Linked DNA regions of Tribolium castaneum. The protein of the gene in region 1 purifies or fractionates together with the protein of each later gene. This does not show direct contact. Links are inferred from orthologs where the notes say so. Each region holds a gene or a part of one and is shown on either strand. Other genes may lie near its edges.

What was found. Proteins that work in one complex are often made in the same cells at the same time.
Region 2: the proteins of Sirt1 (region 1) and Jra purify together in Homo sapiens (affinity purification with mass spectrometry; 4 studies listed by BioGRID and IntAct, with this or other methods). This does not show direct contact. The link is inferred for Tribolium castaneum from reciprocal best matches to the Homo sapiens genes SIRT1 and JUN.

The regions. Positions count from the first base shown.
Region 1 is NC_087394.1:11,919,523-11,924,480, forward strand, and holds part of Sirt1 (NAD-dependent protein deacetylase sirtuin-1), read left to right. Parts: intron 1-1,274; coding exon 1,275-1,555; intron 1,556-1,725; coding exon 1,726-1,921; intron 1,922-1,975; coding exon 1,976-2,204; intron 2,205-4,958. UniProt on the Homo sapiens protein: NAD-dependent protein deacetylase that links transcriptional regulation directly to intracellular energetics and participates in the coordination of several separated cellular functions such as cell cycle, response to DNA damage, metabolism, apoptosis and autophagy.
Region 2 is NC_087399.1:145,288-149,972, reverse strand, and holds Jra (Jun-related antigen), read left to right. Parts: upstream 1-2,013; 5' UTR 2,014-2,157; intron 2,158-2,205; coding exon of another isoform or gene 2,206-2,278; intron 2,279-2,319; coding exon of another isoform or gene 2,320-2,438; 5' UTR 2,439-2,446; coding exon 2,447-3,130; 3' UTR 3,131-3,346; downstream 3,347-4,685. Other genes in the region: uncharacterized protein LOC663924, read right to left, coding at 1-119, 665-728; phosphatidylinositol N-acetylglucosaminyltransferase subunit Y-like, read left to right, coding at 2,206-2,278, 2,320-2,438; ClC-b (H(+)/Cl(-) exchange transporter 7), read right to left, coding at 3,496-3,678, 3,727-3,810, 3,866-4,678. UniProt on the Homo sapiens protein: Transcription factor that recognizes and binds to the AP-1 consensus motif 5'-TGA[GC]TCA-3'.

The sequences.
Region 1 (4,958 bases):
CCTATGTTTGTAATTTTCTTCATTTGGGATTTTTATGGACCTTATATAATTTTCTTAAATTTAATTTAAATTTACTCCAAGAAAAAAGACTACTACAGTGAAATGACAAGTGTAAATTATGCAGTTACATAAACACTACAATGTTAACTTAATATTTACACAAATAACTCAGACGACACTAGGGTTGGTAAGATTGGCCTTATAACCATTAAAATCACTAATTTCTTACTTTAAAATTCAAAAAAATAGGAAATATAGATTTTAAACATACAGGGTGAATTTGACACTATTTATGGGACTATTTATATAAATTTATGGGACACCCCCAAACTTTACCAATGAAAATTGTAAAAAATCTGATCTTTGAAGTAAGTTCTTTAAAATATATTATCATTCCTTTAAGCATATTTTGTTAATTTTGTTATGACTCCACAAAAAATAAATAAATAATGTTAAATTTTTTTTATATTTTTTTACTTTATCGAATTTCATTTTCTCAAATGTTACCGACTATTAGCCATGGCAATTTCGGAGTAAAGTAATCAAAAGACGCAAACTTCGTTTACATTGCATTTTTTGACGAGTATTTTGATACTAAAGTGGAGGCTGCATTATTTATATCTCAGAAACTATAACTATGAGGCAAGTTGAGTTATTTTAACTTCTTTTGAGCTTTACTATTACCCCTAAAATGTATGGAATACTATCAAATCCACCCCGTACCTAATACTTTTCCTGACTTTTAAATTGGAGAGCAAATGAATATCAAGAATTTTTTGTATGTTCATGATTTAGTAAGGCTAGAAAACCAGATAAATAAAATACATAGTAAGTTATATGATTAGAGATTGGTAAAACTCATTCGATTTTAGTTTTCCCCTAGAAGATTAGACATGCGGAAGTTATTTATAAGTGTGTAAAAATTGGAAAATCCCAACCAAAAAAAAAGTACAATGGTATCGAATACTCACTTTTGCCTGAAAGTCATTTCAGGATGAAAAAAACCATTATTTTTTTTGTTTTTTTTTACGAAAATGGATTATTAATTATTATCAATCAGTAACTATTTTTTTTAATGTCATTTTTTAAAAATAAAAAAGATATAACATATTGGGCTGAAAAGTAAAAAACCAACATGTTTTTCATAATAGGGACTGTAAAACAATCGACAATACATGCATTACGTACAAAAACTAAGCGGACAAAAGCATTTAGAACGAAATTAAATAAAAAAATTGAGCGATGGGATTGTAAACGTCATTTTTTTTTGATAGGAATATCACCTGATTGCGATTCCGGTTATGAAGCATCCACGTTAGAATCAATTCCAACTTCTTCACACCAGACCTCACCTCACACTGACCCCGGCGATGTCCCAGAGAGTTTATCCAGTCTTTCCGAAATATTTCTAACACCATCCCGAACAGATCAAGCGGACACATCTCAGGACAGTATCGAAGCCGACGATGACAATGCCTCCACAGTTAGCGAAATAAGCGGTCTTTCGGACCTCTCTGGACAAGATTGGAAACCAATGGCTGGCAGCATGATTTGGGTACGATATAATTACCATAAACAATCTTTTTTTTCTGTAGTAGCTGTTAAACTATTTCTTTATCAACTCTGTTGAGTAAATCTAATAGCACTGTAATTTTTTTTTTGCAAATACACAAACTCTTTATCGTCTTGTATAATAAATAACTAATAAATAATTTTCCGCAACAGATTCAAAAACAGATGCAAAACGGCGTGAATCCCCGAACGCTGCTGAGCGATCTGGGTGTGGATCTGGATCAAGTGCCGCAATATGTAGACGAAATAACTCTCTGGAAATTAATTATAAACATGTTGGCCGAGCCGCCACGACGGAACAAATTGCGACATGTTAATACTTTGGACGATGTAGTTCGATTGGTTAAAGGTTTGTCATTTAATTCATAAATGAGTGGTGTTTTTTGACGGAAGTTTGGTTTAGGAGCACAAAATATAATAGTTTTAACCGGCGCTGGAGTGTCTGTTTCGTGTGGAATTCCAGACTTTCGATCACGTGATGGGATTTACGTTCGACTGGCGATAGATTTTCCAGATCTTCCAGACCCGCAAGCAATGTTTGATATCAGCTATTTCAGTCAAGACCCTCGGCCCTTCTTCAAATTCGCACGAGATATATATCCAGGAAAATTCACGCCAAGTCCTTGTCACAGGTAATGATTTGAAAATAATATTTTAAATTATTAATTTTTTACCAGTTTGTCCAATTTCTTACCTCAATTGTGGAACGTACGTGTAGTATTTTATTGCCAGAATCATATTATTACTCTGGAATTTGTTTAAAAAAGATGACTTTTTTACTATTTTAACCAGTGATTTAAATACTTATTTGGTTTGAGGCAAGTGATTTATGAATTAATGTCTAAACTAAAACAAAACGTACAACTGATTTCACCGTTGCTAAATGTATTTTTGAAACATTTTCAAAACAGATAAACAGATAAAACTTTGCTTTCATACGTATAGTAAGCTTCCTAATGTTCTGAAAATAACAGCGAAATTATTTTTATGAAATTACAATATATGTCATTTTACCGGGATTCTTTTGAGTTTAATTGCATAAGTTTTTATTTAAAATTTAAATTTTATTTGTTTAAAGACATGTTAGCATAAGATGAAATAGCGTAATTGTGATCCAATCTGAGATCTTTGGGCTTATAAGTGTTTTCAAAACAAAAATAAACAAAGTCATTTGGAATTGGCTGTAATAGTATTATTATAGTAAGGCTATGAATTTTTCAACTTGTTTCTGCCAATCTCTTGAATTCAGGGAGTTTTTTTTATTCGAAAACGACATAGATTGCTCGGAAGCGGCTGAAATAATCTTACTCTGTCTCAAAGCAAGTATTTTTAATTGAGCTTATGGTGCAAAATTGAGCTAATGCTTCAAAATTTGCATCAATAGTATTATTTTCACCTAAAATATTTTGCTGTTATTTTTTTTTGAGTAATAAACTTATAAATGAATCCATTACTCACATACTACAGCGACTGTTTTCCAAGTTTTTGGGCATATTAGAGGAAAACTTGTTTTAAAATGAGTTCAATTTTTTAAATTGTCTGAAGTATCATTATTTTGACTTAAAACAAATATTGGGCAGATTTAGCCAATTTTTTTGAACTAAGTGAGTTTCTGGTGCAAAAGTGGGCAAGATACCACAAAAATACGGTTAATTGTATGTTTTAAACAGTTTCACAAAAGGCGAAATTTTGCTTTCTTATTTTTATAATCAAAATTTACGAACTTTCTATTTCCAACTTTTCGGAAATCAAGGAAGTTTTTATCACGGTTTCCATCTGTTGTGCAATGAAAGTGTTTATCTACATAAGTTTTATTTAAAACAGATTTTCTGTTCAATATTGAACAGAGTTTTTTTTTTGAATAATAAATTACTCCGATACACACATACCATAGGGATTGCTCTCAATTTATCGGAAATTTTCAGAGGAAAATTTGTCTAAATTGTTTGGAATTGGCGGAAATATCATTATTCTGACCTAAACTGAATATTGTCTGTCAGATTTCGCCAAAATTTCTTGAATTAAGTGAGTTTCTGAATAATAGAATAAAAAAATATTATCTACCGGTTTCTTGGTCTGTTTTCAATTTCGTGGAAATTTTTAGAAGAAAACTTGTTTTAAAATGAGTTCAACAGCCTGGAAGAGGTTGAATTAGCATTTTTCTGGCCCAAAACAGCAATTTTTTGGCTGATTTATTCGATTTATAATTTTTTTTCCGAATAAGTGAGTTTCTGGTACAAGAACGAGCTTAATCTTTCAGTTAGTCCTCTGTTATAGTAAGCCAAAAAGTATCTTTATTTTTTTCAACTAATTTCGTGAATAAATTGAAATTATATAATAATAGAGTGTTTTTTGTTTAGACATTTTAAAACATCTTTTTATTAGATATAGCGTTATTTTGTCTTAACACGACAATGTTTTGGTTTCCGTCGCCAAAATATTTTGGTAAATTATGTTTTTGGCTCAAATTACAACTAAATGACTTGACATGCCCAAGAATTGAGCTTAAAGTTTGCCGAAATACCATTGTTTCCACTCATAATTATGGAGAGCTGGTTTGTTTTGGCAAAATTTCATGAACTTGGCTTAGTATCTGTTTAAAAAGTGCTCGAAATTCTCTGAACTTGTTGCGTTGTTCTTTTTAAATCTGAAGAAAATGGAATTTTGCCATTAAATACAGGTTAATCAGGACGTTTTTATTTATCAACCTCAGTCTAAGAAGTTACAACATTTTTATTTAAGTAAATTCTTTTCTAATTAAAAGAATGCCGGTCTAAATCTCTGGCAATTCGTTAATTTGCTCAAACTGACGATTTTATTTAACTTTTTTTAGTAACCAAAGTAATAAAAATGAGCCAAATATCATTGATTGTTAAAGTAGTTTATTTTGATATAAGCGATAACTTGTTTCGACAAAATGCCTTAAATTGAGTAAGTTTCTGGTTCAAAATGAGCAAAATTCTTCAGAATTTGCTAAAATTACATTTTTCTCACCAAAAACTGTAGTTTTCTCACTGAACTTATGCTGTTTTTTATTCAAAGCGAAGATAAATAAAGTCAGTAAATCTTTTTCAAATTATGTACTAAGTACGTTTTTGATATAAAAAATGGTAAAATAAAATCTCTCGGAATTATTTGAGATAGCGCAATTTTTATGTTAAAACGACGATTTTTAGCTTGTTAGGACTGAATCTCGTGAATTGAATTGAATTGAATTGAATTGAATTTCTATTACACAAAATGATCTTCTGATTTACTTTTATTTTGGAAAAATATTTTGATTTAGCTGAGTGTTGAACCCAGAATTAACTAAAACGACTTGGAATTAGCTGAAATCTTGTTCAAATAGGTCACGAATAGATTTCGTAGTAAAAACTTTACTAGTA
Region 2 (4,685 bases), on another chromosome or scaffold:
TCCAGGGGGCGACATGTTGGGGCAATCCATTTCCAACTCGGTCTTATATTTGGCAATATCGGTGTCGCTACATCTCTTATCCGCGTAACTGTTACACTGGTAACATCTAATGGCGTTACCTAAGAGAAAACGGATGATTTTTTTTTTAAGTTAAAGAGGGTGTGCATTGAAAGTGTTTTCATTTTCAATGAACATAATATAGTCTCTTCGTGGAACACAGATAAATTTGGTACAGAAATAGAATAAATTAGTGTTTATCATTCATGATATGACTTGCGTCAACAAAAACAAATAGTATTCAGATTTTCTCAACTTTATTCTCTCTTTATTCCCAAATGGTACAGCTTATTGATCTTCGAAATGAAATTGCGCGTGCGCATGCACCTTTTTCTTTTTTAAATTAATTACGATTAATGCATTTACATGTTTCTGATTAATAATTTTTTTAGCGAAAGTATTTCTAAAATTGTCTACAATACAAGTAGCGATTTACTTGAATTGGTGGAAAAAATTGGAGGGGTCTCGAAGGGTGCGAACAATAAAAGTAGTTGATTATGTAATCATTACTGTCTCACAAGTGTAGCACTTCACAAGTGTAGCAATAATTAAATAAATTTATGAGAGGCATAAGTTAAATTCGAACTGGAGGGTGTTTTATACTTACTTGATTTCAAACACACTAAAATAAGAAGAAGGGATAGTCCAGTAATGTATTGTAAATGGACCATTATTGGTTTGTGTTAAAAATTTCAAACGAAAAGAATTATTTAATTTAAATAAAATTAGATTATATGATCACGAAATGTTCGGTTTGAGTTCAATATGAAGACTGAATGCAGCTTCAAATAGGGCCTGCGCGAAACCTTGATTCTAACGGAAAGATTCATAAAGTGCGATCTGCGTTTAAGAAAAATATAACGGATTGTTTTTTCAATTTTTATTGATTGATAGTAAATGAACTGAAGTGAAGAAGGGTTACCATTTCCGTAATTACAAAAAAAAAAGTTGGCGTATACGTGTTACTGATTTGCTATGATGTGGCTCGATTAACTCCTACATAGTTTTTTTTTTCCGAAAAAAAAAATGTTTCGTTCGTGTTGCAAAGTCTGCAAAGTTGTGTCTACCCTTTAATTTATTATCCTAATTAGTATTACGAAACCGTTTGATACAATTGGATAATTCACCATATCCGTCCAAATTTGTTGCAATTGATGAAATAACACGTTGAATAACACCATCCATTTTTCCGCTTTGCGAAGGCGAGACAGGAAGTGGCAAATATTCCCTGTGGAATTATTATTTGCAAATCAATTTTATTTGGGTTTTTTAACCTATGAACCGTTGATGTATACCAAGGACGGACCAAGGAGCTCCTTGATGCATACACTCGGGGACGTATTTTGATCGAAAAAGTAATTTAAATGAATTATCCTATTAAGGTCAAGGGAACTGTGTTTACCCTAGGCAAACTAGCTCATACGCTACAAATAAAGCAGGTTAGGAATTTTTTCGTCATTTTGAAGAAATAGACAACTATTGTTGATCTCTTTATTACAATTTCTGTTATTTTAGTGCCAATGCTTCTTATCATACATTTTCTAAATAAAGGTTTTTTCCTCGCATGATAATTAAAAATAGTTATCTATTTGGTTATTACCATAATTTGTTTTTATTTTGTAGTACTTATCGCATTTAAAGTCGGACAGAATATAAAATATTTACACTTTTTTCTTTGTTTCCAAAGTTTTTTTGTAAATTAAATCACAATTTTTGAATGAAAATCGGCTAAAACTTTAGTCGTTAATATCACTGTCTTTTCATTTCTTAAATCGTATTTTTTGGATGGGGTAAGATGGGGTTCAAAGATCATGTTGGCAACCCGTAAAACACTGCGGTCAGTTTCCTGTAGAATTGTCTAGGTGTCGCTTTAGCGAATCATTTCGACATGACGTCATTCTCATTTCTGAAAATCCATGAAAGGGATGACTCATTCATATCGAAAGTTATTACGTCGTATTTGTTAGTATTCTGTAGTATTTCGAGAACAATACTACACAAGAAGTTAAAAGTTATATTCAAGAAATTTTCAAGCCAGTGTTGTGCTACATTGTGAGTCATTACAAATAAAAGCGCTTTGCTTTTGAATGTGGTGTTAAAGTAAGTGTTATAATATTAAAGATTCATTATTTACTTTTTTACCAAGTAATGCTTGAGGGACACCTCACAGACCTTCACTTTGTTTTCTTCTTCGAGAATCTTCATTTCTCGATATTCTTTTGTTTGCTATTGACGTAACTTAACCTAAAATTTCCATTTCAGATTTTATGGAAATTAGTGATTCCGTTTATTATTCACTGTTGGCTTTGGTCGTCGTGCCTGTTTACCTATTTTTCAATCTTTGGTCGTGGTTAGGTTGGGAATTGTACAAAAATAATTGATAAAAAAAATGAGCGGACCCAACTTTGAAAGTCAGCAAAAAAACCTCAGTAACATGAAGAAAAATCTCACTCTTGATCTTAATCAGTCGAAAATGAACATGAACCTATCGTTATCCCCCGACATCACGTCCGTCCTCAAAGTAGATACCCCTGACCTCCTCAAAGTGGACACACCCACCATTGAGAACATCATCTTGGCGAATAATATTTCACACACGCCTTCCCCTTCACTTATCTTCCCGCGGGACGTCACTGTGGAGCAAGAGAAGTTTGCAGGCGGTTTCGTCGAAGCGCTTAATTATCTTCACAATGGCAATTCTCAGCAAGGTTCTGACAGTAATGCCAGTACGGTTTACAGCGAACAGCAGAATTTCATGCCTGTGATCAAAGAGGAGCCCCAAACGGTGCCCAACGTGAATAATACGCCCCCAATGTCTCCTGTCGATATGGAATATCAGGAAAGAATGAAATTGGAGCGAAAGAGACAAAGGAATAGACTCGCAGCCTCTAAATGTCGTTCCCGCAAATTGGAACGAATCTCGAAATTGGAGGATAAAGTCAAACTGTTGAAAAGTGAGAATGTTGAATTGGCTTCAGTGGTCAACCAGTTGAAGGAACACGTGGGGATGCTCAAATTGGAAGTGATGGAACATGTGAATGCTGGCTGTCCCATCATTGCGGGACAGTTTTAAGGATAGAGTACGATTTATATTTTTTTATAAAAATTATACACCAGAGTGATTTTTTTATATTTTGGTGCTGAGATATTCATAGTTGTAGCTTTAATACTGTGACCATATTTTGTATGGAGCCATTTGAATTGTATTATTTACGGTAGATTTAGCGCGATTTGTTTTATTTTATGTAGTTTATCACATTTTTATTAATAAAAATTGTCTCAGTAACAAGTAGTGAATTCATTAAAAAAAATTGGTTAGAATAAAAACAATGGAAAATGGGTAAAGTCTTTAATTAACAATAAATAAAATTCTTTTGTCAAAAGCGACAACATAATTATTCGTGAAACTATATCATCATATCATAATACTGTAAGCGGTCATATTTCTTTGGAAATTAATAATTCTTCTACCCCCATGCGACCCCGATGTCTCCAGACTCTATAACGAGCTAAATCTTTCCTTGTTACCATTCCTATAACCTCATTTGTGTCATTAACAATCGGCAAATGTCGTAAACCGAGAGCTCGGAATAATCTAAACATTCGAGGTAGTGATGCCGACTGAAAAAAAAAAATGATTAAATGCTAATTACTTGTTTTTTTAATTACATGAAGCACCGTATATGGTGACGGATTCATAAACGGCCTCAGATCAATAGAATAAGTTTTTTCAACTTCGGAAACACTCACTTGCTAAAGAATTAAACTTAATTACTTAAAAAGGAAAGGGCGAGAGAAATACCACTACCTCTATTGTTGGATATCGGGGATACTCATCTCGAAAGATTCCCGCATTAATATCCTCCCAAAAGTCCGAATTTTCGTTAAAAATCTTCTTTTTCAAAATAACAATTAATTGTGACCTCAAAACTAACCCTCTTATTCTCCCATACGTGGTAACTTCCGATTGATCAGTTAGTGGCGGATCAACAACCGGAAATCCGTTATAAGTTGTTAATTTCAACAATTCAACAATATGCCCCACATTCTCAACACACTTCAGTGTAACCACCGGATGCGACATCACCTCACTGGCGTAGATATTGTGAACTAGTGGCGGGGGTTCCCATGGGAGTAACGGAACACCACTGAGTTGTATAAGTGTGTCATAAATTCCCTCATTGAAAAAATCACCAGTCCATTTTGCCGCAATTAATGTCAGAATTAGAGGCAAAGCAAAGGAAATGTTTCCTGTCGTTTCCATTATAATCACTGTCAAACTAATTGTCATTCTGACTACGCCTCCTAATTGAGCGGCTGCACCAATCAGGGCGTATTTCCCCGGATGAATGAGAACAGCGTCGGGGATTACTCGAAATAGTCCGACTGAAATAAGCCGACCCCAAGCAGCCCCCGTTAGGAGAGTCGGTATAAAAAGACCATTAGAAGAGGCAAGACCAAAAGTCCATGACGATAAAAAGAAATAAACTAGGACGAAAAAGGCCAGAGAGGTGGCGTTGTGCGTACTTGGGGGATCGTGAAAAAGAGAACGGACTGAGGCTTCAGGAGTTTGAAACCAAATGCTTGCCAAAACATTGTATTGGCCATCTTGACAGTATAACTGACAA